4 linked regions of the Arabidopsis thaliana genome follow. Each later gene encodes a partner of the first gene's protein in a complex. Each region holds a gene or a part of one and is shown in the gene's direction. Other genes may lie near its edges.

Evidence for each region.
Region 2: VRN5 (region 1) and SWN share a complex: the UniProt entries of both Arabidopsis thaliana proteins name them as parts of the plant homeodomain / polycomb repressive complex.
Region 3: VRN5 (region 1) and VRN2 share a complex: the UniProt entries of both Arabidopsis thaliana proteins name them as parts of the plant homeodomain / polycomb repressive complex.
Region 4: VRN5 (region 1) and FIE share a complex: the UniProt entries of both Arabidopsis thaliana proteins name them as parts of the plant homeodomain / polycomb repressive complex.

Annotation. Positions count from the first base shown.
Region 1 is NC_003074.8:8,875,266-8,880,184, reverse strand, and holds VRN5 (Fibronectin type III domain-containing protein), read left to right. Parts: upstream 1-1,703; 5' UTR 1,704-2,013; coding exon 2,014-2,438; intron 2,439-2,517; coding exon 2,518-2,810; intron 2,811-2,887; coding exon 2,888-3,978; 3' UTR 3,979-4,401; downstream 4,402-4,919. UniProt on the Arabidopsis thaliana protein: Involved in both the vernalization and photoperiod pathways by regulating expression of the related floral repressors FLOWERING LOCUS C (FLC) and FLOWERING LOCUS M (FLM).
Region 2 is NC_003075.7:885,027-892,487, forward strand, and holds SWN (SET domain-containing protein), read left to right. Parts: upstream 1-1,553; 5' UTR 1,554-1,666; coding exon 1,667-1,702; intron 1,703-1,953; coding exon 1,954-2,073; intron 2,074-2,173; coding exon 2,174-2,439; intron 2,440-2,579; coding exon 2,580-2,738; intron 2,739-2,991; coding exon 2,992-3,076; intron 3,077-3,179; coding exon 3,180-3,323; intron 3,324-3,411; coding exon 3,412-3,459; intron 3,460-3,543; coding exon 3,544-3,615; intron 3,616-3,858; coding exon 3,859-4,463; intron 4,464-4,552; coding exon 4,553-4,700; intron 4,701-5,021; coding exon 5,022-5,242; intron 5,243-5,313; coding exon 5,314-5,445; intron 5,446-5,538; coding exon 5,539-5,626; intron 5,627-5,716; coding exon 5,717-5,764; intron 5,765-5,843; coding exon 5,844-5,972; coding exon of another isoform or gene 5,973-6,051; coding exon 6,052-6,129; coding exon of another isoform or gene 6,130-6,180; exon of another isoform or gene 6,181-6,525; coding exon 6,526-6,717; 3' UTR 6,718-6,961; downstream 6,962-7,461. Other genes in the region: AT4G02010 (Protein kinase superfamily protein), read left to right, coding at 1-196; AT4G02030 (Vps51/Vps67 family (components of vesicular transport) protein), read left to right, coding at 7,236-7,406. UniProt on the Arabidopsis thaliana protein: Polycomb group (PcG) protein. Catalytic subunit of some PcG multiprotein complex, which methylates 'Lys-27' of histone H3, leading to transcriptional repression of the affected target genes, mainly abscisic acid (ABA) responsive elements.
Region 3 is NC_003075.7:9,474,454-9,480,401, forward strand, and holds VRN2 (VEFS-Box of polycomb protein), read left to right. Parts: upstream 1-1,615; 5' UTR 1,616-1,754; intron 1,755-2,087; 5' UTR 2,088-2,254; coding exon 2,255-2,380; exon of another isoform or gene 2,381-2,550; coding exon 2,551-2,606; intron 2,607-2,776; coding exon 2,777-2,844; intron 2,845-2,941; coding exon 2,942-2,994; coding exon of another isoform or gene 2,995-3,016; intron 3,017-3,211; coding exon 3,212-3,265; intron 3,266-3,348; coding exon 3,349-3,408; intron 3,409-3,490; coding exon 3,491-3,534; intron 3,535-3,632; coding exon 3,633-3,763; intron 3,764-3,926; coding exon 3,927-4,113; intron 4,114-4,230; coding exon 4,231-4,279; intron 4,280-4,474; coding exon 4,475-4,558; intron 4,559-4,655; coding exon 4,656-4,735; intron 4,736-4,853; coding exon 4,854-4,943; intron 4,944-5,031; coding exon 5,032-5,272; 3' UTR 5,273-5,425; downstream 5,426-5,948. Other genes in the region: AT4G16835 (Tetratricopeptide repeat (TPR)-like superfamily protein), read left to right, coding at 1-350; AT4G16840 (uncharacterized protein), read left to right, coding at 461-707, 896-912. UniProt on the Arabidopsis thaliana protein: Polycomb group (PcG) protein. Plays a central role in vernalization by maintaining repressed the homeotic gene FLC, a floral repressor, after a cold treatment.
Region 4 is NC_003074.8:7,248,301-7,254,185, reverse strand, and holds FIE (Transducin/WD40 repeat-like superfamily protein), read left to right. Parts: upstream 1-1,733; 5' UTR 1,734-1,931; coding exon 1,932-2,108; intron 2,109-2,951; exon of another isoform or gene 2,952-3,139; coding exon 3,140-3,205; intron 3,206-3,304; coding exon 3,305-3,427; intron 3,428-3,514; coding exon 3,515-3,595; intron 3,596-3,687; coding exon 3,688-3,780; intron 3,781-3,874; coding exon 3,875-3,950; intron 3,951-4,056; coding exon 4,057-4,136; intron 4,137-4,228; coding exon 4,229-4,300; intron 4,301-4,385; coding exon 4,386-4,445; intron 4,446-4,530; coding exon 4,531-4,627; intron 4,628-4,729; coding exon 4,730-4,793; intron 4,794-4,875; coding exon 4,876-4,935; intron 4,936-5,061; coding exon 5,062-5,122; 3' UTR 5,123-5,307; downstream 5,308-5,885. Other genes in the region: AT3G20730 (PPR superfamily protein), read right to left, coding at 5,308-5,885. UniProt on the Arabidopsis thaliana protein: Polycomb group (PcG) protein. PcG proteins act by forming multiprotein complexes, which are required to maintain the transcriptionally repressive state of homeotic genes throughout development.

The DNA of each region.
Region 1 (4,919 bases):
TATTTTCTCTGAATCTCTAATCTATATCCCTTTTTTGTTTTGTTCAATTCCACTCTATTTTGTAACATTTTGAATCTATCTCGTTTGTCATATATACAAATTAGTGGGGATGCTTTTCTTTTCTCCATACATTCAAAACGATAATAATCATATGACGAACACTTCACTGAAATGATGACTATTGTTAACTAATTCATTGAGACCAAATTCTAAATTAGCTAGATTAGTTATATTCATTTTAGATCACTTTAATTAATCCATATCAAGGTTTATGATGAGTTTTCAACTCAAACCCAATCAATAATAAACGGATAAAATCCTTTTGATATATTTAAATTCATATTTTATTTTGATGTGAGAATTCTTATCAAATTTTATGTGTTTTTATTCCACAAATACTTTTATATCCCTATATTTCATTAAATGATACGTTTATACTAACACCAAGTGGTTGTCGTTACCAAGTTTAATATGAAATTTATAATCAGTCCTCACTAAATAGTAAATACATGCACATGCTTAAGTTTTATAATTAGTTCTGATAGTCCTCAAAGTCTAATAATAAGTTTATAAGTTTGACCACGAATCTGAATTTTAAATTAACTCGTTATACATCTTAACTTAGAATATTGATTTGGTTAAAAACTTGTTTATAATATTGGATTCTGAAGTATTTTACAAAATCAGTCAGTACATAGTTACTTGGTCGTGCAGAGTGTGGACCATAGGAGCCCCCTCTATGTTATAGCCTGATACGTTGCCTCGTTTACCTAATCTAGCTATGAAATGGATCAGCTCATTTTATGGATTCCATATTATTGCACGTAATATTCACTCTTTTATCAAGAACATATATCTTTTAGTACAACTTTGTTAATTCACTTATTTGCATCTTCTAAATCCGTCTCACATTCAGTATAAACCATAATGATTTTTCATAAAGTTTATGTGTGTTAGTGTCCATACTTAAAATCAATACATGACTAACATAATCAAACTAATTTTTTTACTGTGAATTTTTTTTTATGGGATCTATATTTTTTGTAGAATACGAAAAGACTAATTTACATTGCATATTAAAAAATCTGTTTTTCTGTATCGAAAAGGCTTCCAAAAGTTTTCACTAATATACCAGCAGTATCAATCTCTCCATAGTAGAAGAACAAGTAGAAGACCAAGTCGCTGGTTTTCTTAAGATATCTTCTCTGTTGTTCCCCCCTTCTTCGTTCCTATCGCCACCTTCGACATTCACTATTTTTCTTTTTCTTTTTTTTTTTGTTTGAGAAAAAATGAAAATTTGTTTTAAGAGACCATGATAAAATAATAAAAGACAACTAAATAAAAAATACTAATTATATAAAAATAATATCCTCATATAATAATTATGTTATGTGGCTCAATTGGCCAAACTGGAACCTAACCGTAATTATTAAACTGAAAAAATGATATAGGAATGTGTTTAGTTTAATTTATATAATATACGAATTTGCTTAGTTTTATACTTTTATATATGTATAAAATTTACATGTGTGTAAATATTTACTAGTTATGGACACTCCGATATTCGGATACAAGGATTCGGATTGAGAAATTTAGAACCACTCCGATATTCCAAAAATTCGGTTTTGATTTTAAAACCATGAATTGTGTTCTTCCCTTTTTTTGTCCCTAAAATCTCGAAACTAAGAAAATGGAGGCCCTTTAAAGAAATAGGCCCAATATGATACATGTTATAAAAAAACAAAAAAACAAATGACACGTGTACCCTAGAATCTCTAACTTTCATCTCCTTCCTCTCTCTTTCCCCCAAATTTCAGCCGCCGCGGCAATGTTTTCTCAGGCGACGCCTAAATCTACAGCCACCTGAAAACTCCTCCGTAATCTCAATCACCGAACCATGTTTCTCAATTTCGACATTGAATCAAAAAAGACGAAACAATCCTTGTTTCTCGACGAAGACATCTGTGAAGAAGAAGAGCTACAAAGACTTTAATTTTTTCTTTCTGAGCAAGTATGGATTCATCATCGACGAAATCGAAGATCTCACATTCACGCAAGACGAACAAAAAGTCAAACAAGAAGCACGAATCAAATGGGAAACAACAACAACAACAAGACGTCGATGGTGGTGGTGGGTGTTTGAGATCATCATGGATCTGCAAGAATGCATCGTGTAGAGCTAATGTGCCTAAAGAAGATTCCTTTTGCAAGAGATGTTCTTGTTGTGTTTGTCATAATTTCGATGAAAACAAGGATCCTAGTCTTTGGTTAGTTTGTGAGCCTGAGAAATCTGATGATGTTGAGTTCTGTGGCTTATCGTGTCACATTGAGTGTGCTTTTCGAGAAGTCAAAGTTGGTGTTATTGCTCTTGGGAATCTGATGAAGCTTGATGGTTGTTTTTGTTGCTACTCATGTGGCAAAGTTTCTCAAATTCTTGGGTAAAATTTCTTCCTTTACTCTTTGTTTGATTGCTGTAATTGGCTTTGTATAACTCAATGTGCGTGTGTGTTTATGAAGATGTTGGAAAAAGCAGCTTGTGGCAGCAAAGGAAGCACGACGACGTGATGGACTGTGTTATAGAATAGATTTGGGTTATAGACTGTTGAATGGGACTAGTCGGTTTAGTGAATTGCATGAGATTGTTAGAGCTGCTAAGTCTATGCTGGAGGATGAAGTTGGACCTCTTGATGGACCTACTGCTAGAACTGATAGAGGCATTGTTAGTAGGCTTCCTGTTGCAGCTAATGTGCAAGAGCTTTGCACTTCTGCAATTAAAAAGGCAGGGGAGTTGTCAGCCAATGCAGGTAGAGGTTAGTATTGGAGATATGTTTATTGCAATGAATCTGAAAGAGAGAGTAATGAAATAAGTTCATATATGTTTTTGCAGATTTAGTTCCAGCTGCGTGCAGGTTTCATTTCGAAGATATTGCACCAAAGCAAGTGACTCTTCGTCTGATTGAGCTACCTAGTGCTGTAGAATATGATGTTAAGGGTTACAAGTTATGGTATTTCAAGAAAGGAGAGATGCCTGAGGATGATTTATTTGTTGATTGCAGTAGAACTGAGAGGAGGATGGTGATATCTGACCTTGAGCCTTGCACGGAGTACACATTCCGTGTTGTCTCTTACACAGAAGCTGGTATATTTGGCCATTCGAACGCTATGTGCTTTACGAAGAGCGTTGAGATATTGAAACCAGTGGATGGTAAGGAAAAGAGAACAATTGATTTAGTAGGTAACGCTCAGCCCTCAGATAGAGAGGAGAAAAGTAGCATTTCCTCAAGATTTCAAATTGGGCAACTTGGGAAGTATGTGCAGTTGGCTGAAGCTCAGGAGGAAGGCTTGCTTGAAGCGTTTTACAATGTAGATACTGAGAAAATTTGTGAGCCGCCAGAGGAAGAATTGCCACCTCGAAGGCCACATGGGTTTGATCTAAATGTAGTTTCAGTGCCAGACTTGAATGAGGAGTTCACTCCACCTGATTCTTCTGGAGGTGAAGACAATGGAGTGCCGCTAAATTCGCTTGCTGAGGCTGATGGTGGTGATCATGATGATAACTGTGATGATGCTGTGTCTAACGGTAGACGGAAGAACAACAACGACTGCTTGGTTATATCAGATGGAAGTGGTGATGATACCGGATTTGATTTCCTCATGACCAGGAAGAGGAAAGCAATTTCAGACAGTAATGACTCAGAGAACCACGAGTGTGACAGTTCGTCGATTGATGACACTCTTGAGAAATGTGTGAAGGTGATCAGGTGGCTGGAGCGTGAAGGCCACATTAAAACAACATTCAGGGTCAGGTTCTTGACATGGTTCAGCATGAGCTCAACCGCTCAGGAGCAATCTGTTGTGAGCACATTTGTGCAGACTTTAGAGGATGATCCAGGTAGCCTTGCTGGCCAACTTGTCGACGCATTTACTGATGTTGTCTCCACCAAAAGGCCAAACAATGGAGTAATGACCTCACATTGATCAAGCTTCCCATTGATTCAACCACATTCTTTCTTAGTATGAATAATATGATTAGAACTAAATAGTCCATGATTTCTCTAACGTGGATTCGGCTATTTATCATCAATTTGGACCACAGGATTGACCACATTGCAAATCTCTTTGGATTGGGGTTTAGATTTAGGATTTGACATAATAATATTTTAAAAAATCTCCTTAGGGAGAGTATTTTGCCTCTGTTCCTTGTTTCTGTTCATATCTAAAGAGGTCCTGCGAACCATTCGCTCTGTTGTGTACTAACTCGTGTAAAGTGTCAATTTCATCAACTTCTAAAACAATATCTTGGTTATATTGATTGATCGTTTCAGATTTTCAAATGATTACATCTGTTATTGTTTTTATGCAAAAAATGTTATTTTCAACAAACCAAAATAGAAAGTTCAGGATTTTTTTGTTTGAGTAACCATTATTTGAGGGTGTTTTCATTGATTATTTAGTTGGGGATGTTGTTGTTAAGATTCCTTACTTGAGGGGTAGTTTGTTTCATTAATAACTAGATGAATACCCGCACTACGTGCGGGTTTATGTATTACTATTTACAAATTGTTTTATATAATGTCTGTTCATATAAAGTAAAGTTGAATGCATCGATTTTGAAACATAAATATGATTTGTAATTGTTTTCAAAAAGTCCAACTATATTAGTTCATCTGAAAACGAAAGTGCTTGAGTTGTTTTTTATTGTTGTTTTAGATTCTCAGTTTTTTTTTTAATTTATATATCTTTGTTCTTTTGGTTATATATTTAGTTTGTGAGACGGTGAAATTTTAGAAAATTTGTTTTTTACATTAAAAATATAACATGTCTTTATTAATCATGTCTCTGCATATCCAATCTAATCATATTCAACTTGATGTTATTGTAAAGTTTGGTTAAGTTCTTGTCATAATCTTATATCTTAC
Region 2 (7,461 bases), on another chromosome or scaffold:
GGTTGAGTATCAAGACCCGGTTTTAAACACTTCAAATAAAGCTCGTCCTAACCGGAGACAATCATCAGCTACGTTCGAGTCAGAAGTAACCTCTTCTATGTTCTCTTCTGGTCCTTATTCTGGTCTAAGCGCTTTTGATCATGAAAATATTACACGAACAACTGTTTTCTCAGAAGATCTTCACGAAGGCCGATGATAGAAGCCAGGGTTTTCTTCTTTTTATTTGTTTTTCTCCCACTTACGGTGAGAAAATTTCCACCAGAGAAGCTTTTGAGTTTGGGACATTATTACAGCTCTTTGGATTTTGGATTCTCCTTTATTGGAGGATAGAATTTTGTATATATTTTTGCGTTAATTAATTAATATTTGCCACAACCATCAGATATACAAATAGAATTTGAATATACTTTTTCCAATATAAAAAAACTATGTACAGGTGATTAGTTTGTACTGTTAATTTTTAAAGGCTTTTTACAGTAAAAGTTTTTACAGCTAAAAGTAACAGTATAATACTTTTTTTTTATGGAATAATCTAAATAAAATATAATCTGTTGAAAAACTAATATTTTAAATATAATTTTTATGGTATCAAACCAATATTTAAAGTAATTCCTTTCTTATTAGTTAAAATCACAGTTTTTATTATTATTATTTTTGATAGTGGTTATGTTCAGGAAAGGACTGTCATACATTCAGGATGGATTTACAGAGATTGCAATGGATGTTTCCTTAGTTCAGGGCGTGCTCAACTTCAATCGTCACAATTATCTCTTCAAGCAGAGGCTCTCGGATTTCTTCATGCCCTTCAAGTGACTTGGTCCCGAGGACTACATTATGTACTTATGTGTGGTTTGAGAGCGATAATGCAGAGCTAGTAAATCTGATCAATACGCAGAGTGATCATAATAAGATCATCACTCTTCTTTATGATATTCGTTATTGGATGGTGAAGCTTCCGTTCTCTTCCTTAGCACATGTTAATTGGGAAAGAAATGCAGCTGCGGACATCTTATCTAAAAAGGCTCAGTTAATTAATTCTCTGTACCACCATTATGGTTAGAAAGATATTTGTATCTCCCTTTACAAGTTTATAAGAAGCATACATATGTTAAAAAAAAAAAATCTTTACAGTTTAAATCTTTACGCTCAGAGATTTTTACTTTACAGCTAATATTCTTAGCCTCAATGGCTAGTATTGTTAACGTCAAAGTTTCTAAAGCCACACAAATCATAGTAGTTACCTTTAAGATAAAATACAATTATAATCACAAATATCTTAATATTTTTACGTTCAGAGTTTATTACTTTACAACTAATACTTATCTCAAACGTAACTGCTATAACCTGTGTGGCTCTAGAGACTTTGACGTTAATAATATTAGCCATTATTAGCCTCAACGGCTCCAGAGCCAGGCATGTCGTAATAGTTATCTTTAAGATAACATACAATTATAATCACAAATAGAAAATAATTGTCGCAAAACCACTAATTAAATTACACACGTATAAGCACTATTCATTCACACGTGTGGCGTTCTTTGTATGTAATGTAACCCCCCTTCCAGTCCACACTCCGTTCGTCCTTCTCACAAGTCTGATTGCGGAAAAAGCAGAGAGAGAGAGAAAGTTCGAGCGGAAGAGAAGCGGAAAGCTCGAGGAGTCATCAATGGTGACGGACGATAGCAACTCCTCTGGACGAATCGTACTCAGATTTACCTTTCAATCTCCTCTTTTTTTTTTTTTTTTGATTTATTATCTGATTTTGCTCGTATGCGCATGATCATTCGCGTTTTTTCAGCTGATTGTTCGTGAAATCCGTTTGAGTTCATCAAATTATAATCGCTCTCTTACTTTTGTTCACTGTTGGAGTTGATGGACCTTATAGAATTAGTGTTTTTCCTCGTTGCTTTTGTTTTTTACACGATTTTTGTTTTGATTTGGGCTTCTGAATAGAAGTCTCATGTAGATGATGATGATGATGGTGAAGAAGAAGAAGATAGACTCGAGGGTTTGGAAAACAGATTAAGTGAGCTTAAAAGGAAAATTCAAGGAGAAAGAGTTAGGTCTATTAAAGTAAGAGAGTTTCTATACTTGATGTTCTTTACTAATTATACTAATGTCTAAAAAATTTGAAATCATTTATCCGTTTTTGATTGTTTTCCTGGGAATGTAGGAGAAATTTGAGGCTAATAGAAAGAAAGTGGATGCTCATGTTTCTCCCTTTTCATCTGCTGCATCGAGCCGAGCTACCGCAGAGGATAATGGAAATAGCAATATGCTTTCTTCGAGAATGAGAATGCCACTCTGCAAGTTAAATGGTTTTTCTCATGGTGTGGGAGATAGAGACTATGTTCCTACTAAGGATGTTATATCAGCAAGTGTCAAGCTTCCTATTGCTGAGAGAATACCGCCATACACTACCTGGATATTTTTGGACAGGCATGCACCTTTTCTAGTTCTCATTTTTGCGTTGGTAGCATGCTATTCTAAATTCAGTTGAACAATAGACTAGAACATCAAATTCAGTTTTCATATTATGTGTTGTTTTTCTTTTCTGAAAAAATATCTTAACCATGCAGAAATCAAAGAATGGCTGAAGATCAGTCTGTGGTTGGTCGAAGACAAATCTACTATGAACAACATGGTGGTGAGACGCTAATATGCAGCGATAGTGAGGAAGAACCAGAACCTGAGGAGGAAAAACGTGAATTTTCCGAGGGTGAAGATTCCATTATATGGTTAGTTTTGCAGAGAGTGTAAATTATGGACTCTCATGTACTCTGATGGGGAAAAATTGTGATACTGGTATTTGAAGAAGTACCTGGGTGGAATTTATTAACCAATGAATCACATTTGTTGATGCTAAAAAAAGATGTCATATTTCGTATTCATATCAAATTTCATTCTGTAAGACTCTTCATTAGCATTAGGTTTGAAATATATCTCACTATATATGAATTTCTTCATACCTCGTTTGACTTGAATTGGCAGGTTAATTGGGCAGGAGTATGGCATGGGTGAGGAAGTGCAGGATGCCCTTTGCCAGTTGCTAAGCGTAGATGCTTCTGATATCCTGGTGCAGTTTTTAGTCATCTTGTTCTTGTGGTTTATCTAATGATGTTTTTCTGGTCTTCCTATTCTTCTTCACTAATGATGTTTGGCTTTCCTGTCTGCTGCAGGAAAGATACAATGAGCTCAAGTTGAAGGATAAGCAGAATACCGAGGAATTTTCTAATTCCGGATTCAAGCTGGGAATATCTCTGGAAAAGGGCCTTGGTGCAGCTCTAGATTCTTTTGATAATCTTTTCTGCCGCCGTTGCTTGGTACTTGGATTGTTCTTTGTGACAGAGAGAGCATGTATTATTAAGTGTTTGTTAATCATGTTAATCCTTCTTTGGTTATTTCTAACAGGTATTTGACTGTCGTCTGCATGGATGTTCTCAGCCTTTGATTAGTGCTGTAAGCTTGAATTTGTCTTTACTTTCTTTAGTTGTATTGCTAAAGTTTCAGTGGACAACATAACAAGAGAACTTTGGTTGACAGAGTGAAAAACAGCCTTATTGGTCTGATTATGAAGGTGATAGGAAACCCTGCAGCAAACATTGTTACCTCCAGGTCTATCTCTCTCTCTGTCTCTTTACATTCTCAGAGTGATTTGTATATTCGTAGTTAATAAACTATATTCATTAGTGAGATCATGGAATATATGCTCTGACCTAGATTGAGGTTTAGCATGTATGCGTTTGCTAGAGGAGTGATCTTTCATTGTAGTTGTACTAGTGCATAGTCTTGTTTATGCAGTAATTTTTCTTGGTTCCAGAGTTTGAATCACCATTATTCTTATGTTAATGATTTTAGCTCAAGGCGGTCAGAGAAGTACCAGAAACATGCAGTAATTTTGCATCTAAAGCAGAAGAGAAAGCTTCAGAAGAGGAATGCAGCAAGGCTGTCTCCTCTGATGTTCCCCATGCTGCTGCTAGTGGTGTCAGTCTGCAAGTTGAGAAGACTGATATTGGTATCAAGAATGTAGATTCATCCTCTGGTGTAGAACAAGAGCATGGAATTAGAGGAAAGCGTGAGGTCCCAATTCTAAAAGACTCCAATGATCTGCCTAATTTATCGAACAAGAAACAGAAGACCGCAGCCTCAGATACAAAAATGTCATTTGTTAATTCTGTCCCTAGCTTAGATCAGGCATTGGATAGCACAAAGGGTGATCAAGGTGGAACAACTGACAATAAAGTAAACAGAGACTCAGAAGCTGATGCAAAAGAAGTAGGTGAGCCTATTCCAGACAATTCGGTCCATGATGGTGGTTCCTCAATTTGTCAGCCACACCATGGTAGTGGAAACGGAGCAATAATCATTGCAGAAATGTCTGAGACAAGTCGACCATCTACAGAGTGGAATCCTATCGAGAAGGATCTTTACTTGAAGGGAGTCGAAATCTTTGGAAGAAACAGGTAAACTGGATCTTGGTAAATTATTATCTTTAAACACAGAACACCTATAACGTATTTACATCTAGTATGTTTTGTCCGTGCTATCTCAGCTGTCTTATTGCAAGAAACCTGCTTTCTGGCTTGAAGACATGCCTAGATGTGTCCAATTACATGCGTGAAAACGAAGTTTCAGTTTTTCGAAGATCTAGTACCCCAAATTTGCTGTTGGATGATGGCAGGACTGACCCAGGGAATGATGTAAGCTCTTGATCTTCCTAGGGTCTTTTGTCTTTTCAAATTTTCTGCAGTATCTGCGACTTTGGGCATTGTTGTATTGAAAGTTAGCTTGTCAGACTGATAGGGTTAGAGATCTATTCCAGAAGAAAAAAGTTCTGATCCGGAAAAGCCAATTTCCTTGCTTAATTTTTCCCTGATACCTGCATTGGACAAGAGAAAACGATAGTTGACCATAAGTTGGCTTAGACAAGTGATTATTTTATTTGAGATTTTATTGATATTAGCATGCCATGTCTGTCAGAATCATATTTTGGTTTACCGCTCTCTTACTTTACTTGACAGAATGATGAGGTGCCTCCAAGGACAAGATTGTTCCGTAGAAAAGGCAAAACCCGGAAGCTAAAATACTCTACAAAGTCTGCTGGTCATCCGTCTGTCTGGAAAAGAATAGCTGGTGGCAAAAACCAGTCCTGTAAACAATACACGCCGTGTGGATGCCTGTCAATGTGCGGAAAGGATTGCCCTTGTCTAACTAATGAAACTTGCTGCGAGAAATATTGCGGGTATGCAAACAAATTAACGTCAATTGAAGTAACAGAGGATCTTCTTATAACCATCCATTGATTTAATTCAGGTGCTCAAAAAGCTGTAAAAATCGTTTCCGAGGATGTCATTGTGCAAAGAGTCAATGCAGAAGTAGGCAGTGTCCCTGCTTTGCTGCTGGCAGAGAATGTGATCCAGATGTTTGCAGAAATTGCTGGGTTAGGTAGTCATTTTAAATCTAGATCTCTTGATGTGCCATATACAATCAAATCTACTATTTGATGAGTAACTTAAGATGCCTTGCTTATTCACTCAGTTGTGGAGATGGTTCTCTCGGTGAAGCACCAAGACGCGGAGAAGGGCAATGCGGAAACATGAGACTTCTCCTGAGGCAACAACAGAGGGTATAATACTGTCATCAAATCATGTATTTACTAAAAATAAAATGCATTCATTGTTGATAAATCTAGTTTCTCATGTGCTATATTTACCAGATCCTATTGGGAAAGTCTGATGTTGCTGGATGGGGTGCTTTTCTAAAGGTAAAGCATGTGAATATCTTCCTCATTAACTTCTGTTTCATACCTCTTGTATGTAATCTGAACCTCATCTGATCATCAGAACTCGGTCAGCAAAAATGAATACCTTGGAGAATACACCGGTGAATTGATCTCACACCATGAGGCGGATAAGCGTGGGAAAATATATGACCGGGCAAATTCGTCCTTCCTCTTTGACTTGAATGATCAGGTGACCAAATCTCTCACCCTTCTTTCTGATAGTTTCCTCTTGAATTTCGCATATGTCAGTAAGCTTTTGATATTTGCAGTACGTCCTCGATGCTCAACGCAAAGGTGACAAGCTGAAATTTGCCAATCACTCAGCTAAACCCAATTGCTACGCTAAGGTACTAAATGCTTCTCTCTCATATCCATTTTGGTATGAAAAAACCACATGATCGGTTAGTAATTATACCTTCTTTCTCACCTCTAGCCACTCAAAAGTTCCATTTAGAAGGAGGACTAGGATTATAACATTTTGTAGAAACTAATCGCAATTAGCACTATAGAAAACAGATGATCAAATCTAGCTTTGTAGGTTATGATCAAAACACACTTGTTTCTACAATCTTTATGATTGTAATGTGTAAAGTAACATGTGTATATCATCTGCTAGATTTATTCAACCCTTTTCGAAAGGTGTTAATTATTTACAAAAAAGAGCGATTTTCAGTCTATTGTCGTAGTAACCATGGTCTCATCGCTTCCCGCATAAGTACGGTGTCTTTTTCTGTGTGGTGTAGGTGATGTTTGTAGCAGGAGATCACAGGGTCGGGATTTTTGCAAACGAACGAATAGAAGCTAGCGAAGAGCTTTTCTATGACTATAGATATGGACCAGACCAAGCACCAGTGTGGGCTCGCAAACCTGAAGGCTCCAAGAAAGATGATTCAGCCATTACTCATCGTAGAGCCAGAAAGCACCAATCTCATTGATGATTACTGGCTAAGAGAAGTAACTTTTATAAAAATAACTTATAGAGTTGTGAGAGATGATATTTGAAGTTTGATAACTTAAGCTTGTCTTTATTAATTAATTATTATAGAGTTGAGATTTTATTTTATTTTGACATCGAGTTTGGACTTTGTATAGGTGATAAAACAATTTATGAATTATTGGGGTCAATAAGTAAAAATGTATCATTTCGAAAAATAGTTTCAAATTTATGGATTTTTGAACAGCTAAAGCCAATCTATGTACTTTTCAACGAATAAAACTGATTTAAAATAAGTGAACGAACCAATCACACTAAACCAGTGCCTAATCTCATAAAAAGTAATCCGACTGCTAAACCGTATTCCGGTTCGAATCGGATACGGATCCGTTTCCCAGTTGATTAGTCGGATCCAGTTTCTTCTTGCTTTTTCAATTCACATTACGAATCTCCGACGCCAAAATTCTGCTTCCGGTAACAGATATTTTCGTCGTCGAGAAGAAGCAGGAGTTTAGAAAAATGGCGACGGAGGCAGCTCCGATGGACGAAAAGGCGAAGAGAATGAGAGATCTATTGTCGAGCTTCTACGCACCGGATCCTTCAATCTCGACGAGTGGTTCCTCCATCAACGCCTCTTTCGATAACATCAACAGCACTTCCTTTGATGCTGATCAGTACATGGATCTCATGGTTAGTCTTCGTTTCTTGTCAGAATATTCGTGAATCGTCAACACAAGCGTCAATA
Region 3 (5,948 bases), on another chromosome or scaffold:
GGATTCACCCTGAACTAGACTCAATACACAAGAAACTGAAGGAGTTGGAGAAGAAGATGAAACTAGCTGGATACAAACCGGAACTAGAGTTTGCTTTACACAATGTAGAGGAAGAGCAAAAAGAGAAGCTATTGTTATGGCACAGCGAGAAGTTAGCTGTTGCATTTGGTTGCATAAAACTCCCTCAAGGTTCACAGATACAAGTGTTCAAGAACTTGAGAATCTGTGGTGATTGTCATAAAGCAATCAAATTTATCTCGGAGATAGAGAAACGAGAGATCATTGTAAGAGACACCACAAGGTTTCACCATTTCAAAGATGGGTCTTGCTCTTGTGGCGATTACTGGTGAAAAGAGAAGAGCTTTGACTCTCTCATTGGTCAAACCTGACTGTATTTATATGCGTTATTGTGTGGTAAAGTTTCGACCTTTGACTTGACAAGTTGCCGTTAAGAAGAGAGATGCGTAGATCAGCGAGTGGTTCTAGAGTTTTGGATCATTTTCCGGCGACTTCAAGGTCTCCGCCTCGATCTCAGAGTGTTACAGCAATGGAAGATGATGTGGAGCTGCTTTTGCCTAGGTACGATCCGAATTCTCAAGCGGGGAAGAGAGAGAAATCAAGATTCAGATTTTCAGAAAACGTCATCCATTTGATTCCTCTCATTCTTCTTCTCTGTGTCGCAATCCTCTGGCTCTCCTCTTACTCAGGTAAGCCGAGAAATTGTTTCAATCTCTATGAATCCATAATTGATCTGTGAAACTTAATTAGGGATTTTACAAAGACTCATATGGATATGAGGATCGAGATGTCTCTGCAACGTTAGAATCTTGTGTTGAATTATGGTTTCAATTTGTTCATATAATACTAAATCGGTGATGGATTTGGAATTTGTCAGCAGCGTTAAGGAGTTGAGTTCCAAAAGCAACATGTTGTCTTGTCTCCATGGGAACTCATATTCAGTTTTGGGAAAGGAAACAATTCTTTTACCGCCGGTGATTTTGTGCCGCAAACCATTCGTATTTGTAATTTTTGGTTCTGTAGACACACAAAAGGATCTCTCGTTTTCATGAAATGTATGTTTAATATTTCAGTGATATACATCACACAACTCAAGTAGAAAACACTGATGGTTATCCATTAATCATTCTATTGGTCGAAAAAAAGATTAGTTTCAACTTAATGCCACCTTAGGATTATATGTTCCTGTGAGTTTCAGCTAGCCAACTCAACTAGAGTTAAACAATGGAATCAAAATACATATTCAGTAATTTATTTTAAACTCTGACTATTTATGTAAAACACAAATGGAAATCAAAATTGAAGGTCATGAAGATTCTATTCTTAGTGTGAAAAGTATAGATCAATGATTCTTAATTTCTTCATCCTCCACGCATAGATCAATGGTGAATATGGTTTTAAATCCTCTAATACTCACTGTACTGCCATGGTAGAGTTAAAAAAACAATTTTAGAAATATTAGTGGATTAAGGCATTAAGCTGTCCAAGTTGCTTGTATTTTCTTTTCATTTTATTAATTAAAAAAAAAGTTCAACTATTTATTGACTAATAATAATACGTGTTAAATGGTTATCGGTTTAAAATATGGGCCATAGGCCCAGACTTGAAGAAAAACTTGAAACCCAAAGTTTTATTTTTACTTGTTTTCTTTCTCAGTGAATATCTCCCAATCAAGCTTCTTCAATTTTGCTTGCTCTCTCTCTTACACGGCCAATCGGTGTTTTCGCAGCTTTCAGGTTTGTCTCAATCTCAAATTAAATCGGAGTCAAGTAATAACAATTGATAACCCTAATTGTTTCAATTATATTGTAAGATTTGAAATTTTGCAGTAGATCCGGAATCGTATTCTAGTTCTGGAATCGTTGATCTCGATGGAATTTTTTTTAAGATTTCTTCATACACATTTGGTTCAAAAGATCACATAATTTTATTTTAATTTGATAAGTATGATGATTCTGCTAAGTGGCATTGGATAAAGTTTTCATTTTTGCAATACGTCTAAACTTGTCTATGTCTTGAATGAACTCTCTGAGTTGCTTAAAAAGTCTTGTGCTTTCTTTATTACACAGGCCTCAATACAAGACATTCTATATAAGCATATTGCAGAAGAGGCGGTTCTAATTGTTGCATGGAGTTGAACAATATGACGTAGGGAAATTCTAATTTAGGGGAGGCCTCAGAGTTTGCACTAACTTCATAATCAGCTCTGGACGTTGTTGATTGTATTTGAACAAGAATGTGTAGGCAGAATTGTCGCGCGAAATCCTCACCGGAGGAAGTGATTTCAACTGATGAGAATCTCTTGATATATTGTAAACCTGTTCGACTATATAACATCTTTCACCTTCGCTCTCTAGGCAACGTATGATTTGGCCTTCCTCTCTCATCATTTTAGCTTAGTAATCTTTCATCTCCTGTGTAGATCACCCACTAATAGTTTGAGTTTGCTAAGCTGATTATGGTCTGACTCATGGCGAGTGTGTGCTTCTTTTGTCTCCTAATGTTATTTGAACTTGTTGTTTGTTGTTGCAGCCATCGTTTCTGCCAAGATGCTTGAACTACAAAATTGGGGCAAAGCGCAAAAGAAAGTATGCGTTTCTTCTTGAATGTAGTTGCCACAGTGATATGTTATTTATCTTACTTCTAATATGGAAGCTGATGAACTATTTATCTTTGTTGAGTAGATATGGACATAATGAATGGTTTCTTCTTTGTTCATGCTATACACTTATATTTTACAAAATTGTGTTTTGCTTAGGTCAAGATCTACTGGGATGGTAGTTTTCAACTATAAGGATTGTAATAATACATTACAAAGAACTGAAGGTTAGTCTTTTTCTGTTCTTCGACAAAATTCGATGTCAATGTCTATGTTTCTCTAGATGATTTGTTATTTACTATTTTTTTCTGTATTGTCACGCAGTTAGGGAGGATTGTTCTTGTCCATTTTGCTCTATGCTATGTGGTAGCTTCAAGGTGGGCAACTATTACAACTGAGGTTTCTTCCGGGGCCTTTCATATCTAACACTGTGAAATGCTACTGCCGTTTAATGCTATATACTTTCACTGTTTGGTTACATATTTTTGTGTTTGTTGTTTGTCTTCTTGCTCTTTTTAAACTGCTGAGTGTGTGCTTATCTGAGAAAACATGTTCCAGTTCGAGCTTACAATCCATTGTCTTGTGTCTATGCAGGGGCTGCAATTTCATTTGAATTCATCTCATGATTTATTTGAATTTGAGTTCAAGGTATGTGGTTTTATGGAATTTCTTGTTTTGCCTATGCCGTTAGTAATGAGGTTATAGTTAAAAAAGGGTCTTTCCTATTGTAGCTTTTGGAAGAATACCAGACAGTTAATGTTTCTGTAAAACTTAATTCCTTCATATTTGAGGTCAGTTACTTTAAACTTGGTTAATTGGGAAATCCTATAGCTGGTGAAAATTTGGTTTATATTCCATCCTTATTTGTACTAGGAAGAAGGAAGTGATGATGATAAATTTGAGCCCTTCTCTCTCTGGTAACTCTCAGAACCCCTTGATTAAATACCTTAATAGCAGTAACTCCTTGCTTTTCTTGTCAGTACTTCTCTATAAATCCAACCACAATGTTTTGCAGCTCGAAACCTCGTAAGCGTAGACAAAGAGGTGGCAGAAATAACACCAGGAGACTTAAAGTATGCTTTTTACCGTTGGATTCACCCAGTTTAGCTAATGGCACAGAAAATGGAATTGCCCTGCTGAATGATGGTAAAATCACATCTTCTTCTGTGGTATTCGTTGTGGCTTAGAACTTCATTTTACAGAAGAAGATACAATGTCCTGATTGTTTAGTTTTTGTACTTCTCCTCGCATTCTTCTTGTGAGGGTAATGTTACCAGAACTGATGTACAAAATTAATGGCATGCTACAGGAAACCGTGGTTTAGGATATCCCGAGGCAACAGAGCTTGCTGGACAATTTGAGATGACTAGCAACATTCCACCAGCCATAGCCCACTCTTCTCTGGACGCTGGTGCTAAAGTTATATTAACAACCGAAGCTGTGGTCCCTGCTACTAAGACAAGAAAGTTATCTGCTGAGCGATCAGAGGCTAGAAGGTTTGTTCATCATGACACCCCGTCATCATAATTACCATACCTGTTGTTACAAATGTTCTTCCTATTATGGATAAGTGTTTACTGTACTGCCATATTAACCGAGAAAATTTCTTCCAGCCACCTACTTCTTCAGAAACGCCAATTCTATCATTCTCACAGAGTCCAGGTGATCCAAGTTCCTTCACCTACTTCTTAGGCATTTTCTTTAAATTGCTCATGATGATATCTTATCAAAGCATACTTGGTTTGTTCTCATCTAAATTTGTATTTTGATTCTGTATGTATCAACGCAAAAAAATTATGTCCATGTTGTCTCCGTTTTATTGCCACTAACCAAAAACTGCATGTTTCTTGTGACAAGCCAATGGCGCTTGAGCAAGTAATGTCTGATCGGGATAGCGAGGATGAAGTCGATGACGATGTTGCAGATTTTGAAGATCGCCAGGTATTCCATGATTTCTTTCTGCGTTCATTAAGTAGGCAACAGAAAATGGTATACGATGTAACTTGCTAATGGCTTTTGAAACTTAAAAAAGCTGCAGATGCTTGATGACTTTGTGGATGTGAATAAAGATGAAAAGCAATTCATGCATCTTTGGAACTCGTTTGTAAGAAAACAAAGGTAACTACTTCTCTTACACTTGAACACACACAAAAAGACCTTATGTCTTACATTCCATACCTGTCTAAATGATTCTGCTTATGGAACTTTGAGCTCAAATTATGATTGATGTTTGCAGGGTTATAGCAGATGGTCATATCTCTTGGGCATGTGAAGTATTTTCAAGATTTTACGAGAAAGAGTTGCACTGTTACTCATCACTCTTCTGGTAATATAAGTACACCAAACATATACAGACACATAACTACACTATCAATTTTGTTTCGTTTTTCTGAAAGAAAAATAAAAAATTCCAGGTGTTGGAGATTGTTTTTGATTAAACTATGGAACCATGGACTTGTCGACTCAGCCACCATCAACAACTGCAATACCATCCTCGAGAATTGCCGTAATACCTCAGTCACTAACAACAACAACAACAGTGTGGATCATCCCAGTGACTCAAACACCAACAACAATAACATTGTGGATCATCCGAATGACATAAAAAACAAGAACAATGTTGACAACAAGGACAATAACAGCAGAGACAAGTAATTAAATAGGAAACACTCCGGTTTAGATGATACCGATCTATCGGATTGTAACTTATTCTTCTTTCTTAAAAAAATTGTTTAGGAGCAAACAAAGATTTTATTTGTTAGTGTATTCAACTGATTACATTTTTAGTTAAAAAAATGGATTCTCCTTAATAACTAAAGACTGAAAAATAAGATAAGTTTCCTTAATTTTTCTTTTTGACTTGAGAAAAAGCTCCTCTAGACCTCTAGTAAATAGGAGTTATATATTAATCAAGTACATAACATAAAAATATATATATTAAGTGCAAATAGATTGAAAACAAATCAAGAAATTAATTAAGACACAGTGATTAAGCTTAAAACCCCATTTTGACTTGTTCTTTCTCAATGAATCCCTCACAAGCAGCAAGCTTCTTCGATTTTGCTTTGACACCACCAATCAGTGTTTTCGAATCTTTCAGGTTTGTCTCGATTTCAAACTAGATCGGAGTCAAGTGATAAAATTGACTAACATAATTATTCCCGTTCTCTCGTAAGAGTTGGGATTTAGCAGTAGATCGGAAATCGGAATTTACGTTTTTGTTAAAAGATTGATGGTTTAGGTAATAAAACATAGTTCTGGATTCATTGCTTCTAGTTGATTCTCGAATTGTTTGATTTCGCAATGCACATTTTTGGTTCAAAGGATCACA
Region 4 (5,885 bases), 1.6 Mb from region 1:
TTGTTCAATTCAAATATTTTTACTTAGATTCTCAAACTATTGAAAAATATCCAAAATATCCGGAAAATTTCAATTTAATCGAATAAAAAAATTAGAATGGAAAGAATAAAAAATTATCGGGTACAATTAGAAGAGTAATGTGTTTAGTTTGGTTTTTACTCGGATACCAGTTCAGTTTTCACGTATTATTCGATCCTATAGGAGCAATTGTGAATTAGTTGTGAGATTTTGGGAGCATTCGCTTCCAGAACTTAGTGCTAGGAGAAATGCTATTTTCCTATAAGAGTTGTACGAGGAAGCGAGCAAGTACACAACAACCACAAAAGCTTTCAATACTTGTTTACTCCTAGGGTTTAAAACTAGAGGTTCTATAGATCTCTAAATTTTTTTGAACAAATGTGTTTTCCACACGTGATATTCTACAATACCACTCGAAAATTATCCATAATTGCTTTAAACTATTTTTTTGTTTAAATTATATAATTTGTACCGTTGTAAACTGATTATTTCAAATTATAATTAAAGCACTATAATTTCATATATTACATTCAACATATATTAAAATAAACTATAACCATGTATTTTTTTGTCTTCCTTTCCTATAAACATTGATTGGACTCTATCGTAAATTTTGTCGTTATCGCAAATTTTGTCGTTATCGATGAGTTTCTCAAAGTTTGGACCTTGATTATCTTGTTTGGAGATGTTCAAATCGTTATATCCAAATAGTGAACTTCTAATTTTCTTTTTTGATAATGTGACTTATTTGGAAAAGTATTCCAAAGTATTCAAATAAACCCTTTAAAAATCCATTAAATACATTTTAAATAAGTAAAATGCTCTCAACGAAGAGATATCATGGTAAATAACAACAGTGAGAGGATAAAATGTTAAATCAATTTATTTACAACTTCAAATAGGCGGACATCAAACCTACTTAGCACACTTTCTATTTTCAAATTGGTTATGGTTTGTCTATTAGTTGTTGCATCTATGTTTTTTAATTCTTATATCGGTGATCTTGATTTTGTTTTGGTGTATCTAAAATCTATTTTAGTTAAAGTGCAAGAAAATAAAATAAAAACTTAAGGTAAGAGATGAAAGTAAGCTTTAAATAAAACAGAGCACTTCTATGGTCGATTATAGAGCCAAGTTCGTTCCTCCATTTTGGCTTAATGCAATATTACAAGTAAATCTTATAAAACTTTCCATAAGTATCGTATTACCCATGGATACTATGATATATAAACTCTCGGAGGTGTAGTCCAGAAGAAATGATCCATATTTGCATACAGTAAACTTGATGGAAAAAATATGTGGTACTGTTGGAATTGTAGCTATTGAGTATCAAATTTGAGAAAAAGGTAAAAAAATATGTAAAATTTGGGTGGAAGAAAAGAATTACATAAAATTGAGAAATGTATGTAATTGACAAAATAATGTTTTCAAAACATAAAAACGTGATACCATTTAAATCCAAACCTTATATCATTTAACCATTTTTAGTAAAACTAATAGTAATGAATGGTCAATAATATAAGATTACATATTAAATAATTACTACTTTCAGAAAATTTCAATCAAATCTATAATATTCCTTTGAAAAAAAAGAAAGACAAATAGGTAAACTTCGATCGTATCAATCAAAGAATATATTTATTTTTCATCGTAACGTTTAATTCTAAGTCCTATTAAAAAACGTTAAATTTGATTTTTCTTACCATTTTTTTCTAAAAGGTGAGTTGTGTGTTGTGTCAGGTCCAAAATAAAAGTTTGTCGTGAGGTCAAAATCTACGGTTACAGTAATTTTAATAACCTGTGAATCTGTGTCTAATCGAAAATTACAAAACACCAGTTGTTGTTGCATGAGAGACTTGTGAGCTTAGATTAGTGTGCGAGAGTCAGACAGAGAGAGAGATTTCGAATATCGAATGTCGAAGATAACCTTAGGGAACGAGTCAATAGTTGGGTCTTTGACTCCATCGAATAAGAAATCGTACAAAGTGACGAATAGGATTCAGGAAGGGAAGAAACCTTTGTATGCTGTTGTTTTCAACTTCCTTGATGCTCGTTTCTTCGATGTCTTCGTTACCGCTGGTGGAAATCGGGTAAAAGATCTCGACTTTCAATTCGAAATCACTGTTTTCAATTCTGGGTCTGTTTAGGTTTTGATTCAGATTGATTGTAACATTAAGGCCTTTCCTTTTGTGTTTGATTTTGGATTCTGATTTCTAGCCTTTAGTGAGATTAAAAGATTGAAACTTTGCTTGATGCTATAGTCTAAGATTATGTAACATTTAGTTCAAACTTTCTGGTTTTGGAGATTTTGTGGAAGATATGGTTTTTGTTTTCTAATTTAAAGTGAACTCATTACCTTATACACTTGATTTGCATTCTGTTCTAAAAAAAATTGAAACTTTGGTTGATGTTGTTAGTCTGCTTATCTAAGGAGGTTCCTTTTGAAACGGTCATCAAGTGAGTTATGAAGCGTTTAGTTTAAGCTTTCCTGTATTGGAGATTTTGTGGAAGTTATTTTTTTTTCTAATTTTGAAACTAGATAGAGTGAAGTCATTACCTTATACATTAGACTGCTCTATTTTGTTTTCAATGTGGGTTCCGAATGTACCTGATAGTGGCTCTTTAGGCTCATTTGTATTCGTCGAAACATCGATCGGATACCCGTTTGGGCTTAGTAGGCTCTGATACCGCGTAAAGTTCTCGGGTTCCATGAAAAACCAATCGGTAATGAGTGGAGTTAATTTGTAATCGTCTTCGGTCGAGCATTTGGGATTAGTGGGCTTTGATACCATGTGAAAGTCCTTGGGGTCCAATCGGCAATGAGTAGAGTTAACTTGTAATCTTACACACTTGGTTAGGTCTCATTCTCTTTATAATGTTGTGTGCCTAACAGTTTCCGCACTAAGGTTGTTTGGTTGCTCAGTCTCAATATACTTATCTTAACTAGTTGTAGTTTTTTTCATCTTTCCTAGTTTCCGTTGGATTTTAAATTGAATGATTTACTAGTTAGAAATATTTGAGTTTCTCATAGAAGCTTTAACCAAGGGGTTCTTTCATTTAACCTTTACTTAGCTAGTTCATGAATCTCATTACTGCCATTGGTGTATCTCTTATTATGTAGATTACTCTGTACAATTGTCTCGGAGATGGTGCCATATCAGCATTGCAATCCTATGCTGATGAAGATGTAAGGAAGCATACATATTAGCTTTTCCATCAAATTAAAGTAAGTGATGTTTCACTGAGGCCATTTGGTTATATTTTGTCTATGTCCTCTGGAGAGCAGAAGGAAGAGTCGTTTTACACGGTAAGTTGGGCGTGTGGCGTTAATGGGAACCCATATGTTGCGGCTGGAGGAGTAAAAGGTATAATCCGAGTCATTGACGTCAACAGTGAAACGATTCATAAGGTATTATTGCATTTTTATGGATGTTCTATGTATCCTAGCAAATGATTCTATATCTTTCTTGTATAATCTGTGCTCGCAAATGTGCAGAGTCTTGTGGGTCATGGAGATTCAGTGAACGAAATCAGGACACAACCTTTAAAACCTCAACTTGTGATTACTGCTAGCAAGGTATATCTCTTGGCTTTCTTTTCTTCCTAAAGTATCCTGACTTCTTTTTTATTTGTTGGTGATTAAGAGCTGTTACGTTTTAATTGAATAAGGATGAATCTGTTCGTTTGTGGAATGTTGAAACTGGGATATGTATTTTGATATTTGCTGGAGCTGGAGGTCATCGCTATGAAGTTCTAAGTGTGGTGAGCCAATATTGTTTTATCTAATTCAGTTAGTTTTCTACAATAATATATAGAGACAATGTTAAGGGGAACCATCTTATTTTGAAAATTGTAGGATTTTCATCCGTCTGATATTTACCGCTTTGCTAGTTGTGGTATGGACACCACTATTAAAATATGGTCAATGAAAGGTACGATCGAGCACATATTGTAATAAACTTCCATTTTAAAAAACCTTTTGAGAAAAATGGCTTGTGGTTCGTTTGTATGATCTTCTTATTCTTTGGCTGTCTATAGAGTTTTGGACGTACGTCGAGAAGTCATTCACATGGACTGATGATCCATCAAAATTCCCCACAAAATTTGTCCAATTCCCTGTAAGTATTTTGTTTTAGCCTTGTCTTGTAACAACAAGTGACATACAAATATTGGTGATGGCCTTTGTAAATAACATTACTTCTATATGTAGGTATTTACAGCTTCCATTCATACAAATTATGTAGATTGTAACCGTTGGTTTGGTGATTTTATCCTCTCAAAGGTTAGTAAGTCAATGATGGTTAAGATTAATTCATTTGGTGTACTGTTAAAACACTTTACTCTTGTGTTGTTCTATCGGATTTTAGAGTGTGGACAACGAGATCCTGTTGTGGGAACCACAACTGAAAGAGAATTCTCCTGGCGAGGTTAGGATCTCATTGTTGCTCCAAACACAACATAATCATTCATTTCATCACATATATTTACAGTTGAACTTTTTGTGGTTTGCAGGGAGCTTCAGATGTTCTATTAAGATACCCGGTTCCAATGTGTGATATTTGGTTTATCAAGTTTTCTTGTGACCTCCATTTAAGTTCTGTTGCGATAGGTAATCAGAGAGCTCGTTAGATACAAATTTGCATTCTATAGATAGATTACTTCAACTTTTCTTATTCATTTTGTGACAAATTACTCGCTGGTTTGTTATCAGGTAATCAGGAAGGAAAGGTTTATGTCTGGGATTTGAAAAGTTGCCCTCCTGTTTTGATTACAAAGTAAGTTAGTTTCGGATTCAGATACAATGTTTGATCTTTAAGAAATGTTTTAGTCTTGACATGATTTTCTGTTGCCATATAGGTTATCACACAATCAATCAAAGTCTGTAATCAGGCAAACAGCCATGTCTGTCGATGGAAGGTATAAATCCATCTTCTCTCTCACCAATGCAGTGAAAATTTCTTAATGTTATTTATGACTCAATAGTTACTGTAAATCAAACCAAACTTTGGATTCTGACACACTGTTTCTTCCATGGGATTGTAGCACGATTCTTGCTTGCTGCGAGGACGGGACTATATGGCGCTGGGACGTGATTACCAAGTAGCGGTCTGAGTCTTGTAGGAATTGATGAATTAGGAGTGCGAAGAAATGAGATATCCATTCTTTTATTGTAATTCTGATCATGTTGCTACTCCCTGAGACCTTGAGATGCTCTTTGTAGCCTTGTTAACGTCCACCCTTGTACCACAGTGTATACCCTTTCTGGAGATTTTGTCTTATTCTCTTAGTTCAATACACAAGGCTGTATCCTGGAGCTTTATTGCAGGAACCACTCTCTTTCATAAGCTTTCTAGTATTCAAAGCATTGTCCCATGCTCCATTAGCTGCATACACACTGGCCAAATTGATGTAATTGACTGGTTTCCTCGGTTCCATACTCAGAAGCTGCGTGGCTGCTACTTTACTGAGCTGCACATTCCCATGGCGCCTGCATGCATCAAGAAAAGCTCCCCATGTTGATGAGCTAAGACTTACAATACCCTCTTTACTTCTTATCAGTGCATAAGCTTCTTCCAAGTAGCCACTGCGCGCAAGCATATCTATGATGCAAGATAAGTGCTCTTCTCGAGCTTCGATTCCGTGCTTGTTGATCATTGTGTCGTAAATCTTCCAGCCTAGTTCGGTTTGTCCTGTATGACTACAAGCAGAGAGGAGAGAAAGAAATGTAACGTCATTCGGTTTGATCCTTTCATGCTCCATTCTGTTATAAAGATCAATTGCTTTCTCAAAATTCCCATGTCTTCCATATCCTGCAATCAAAGAGGTCCATGATCTCACATCTTTCTCTTTCATCTCTTCGAAAGCCA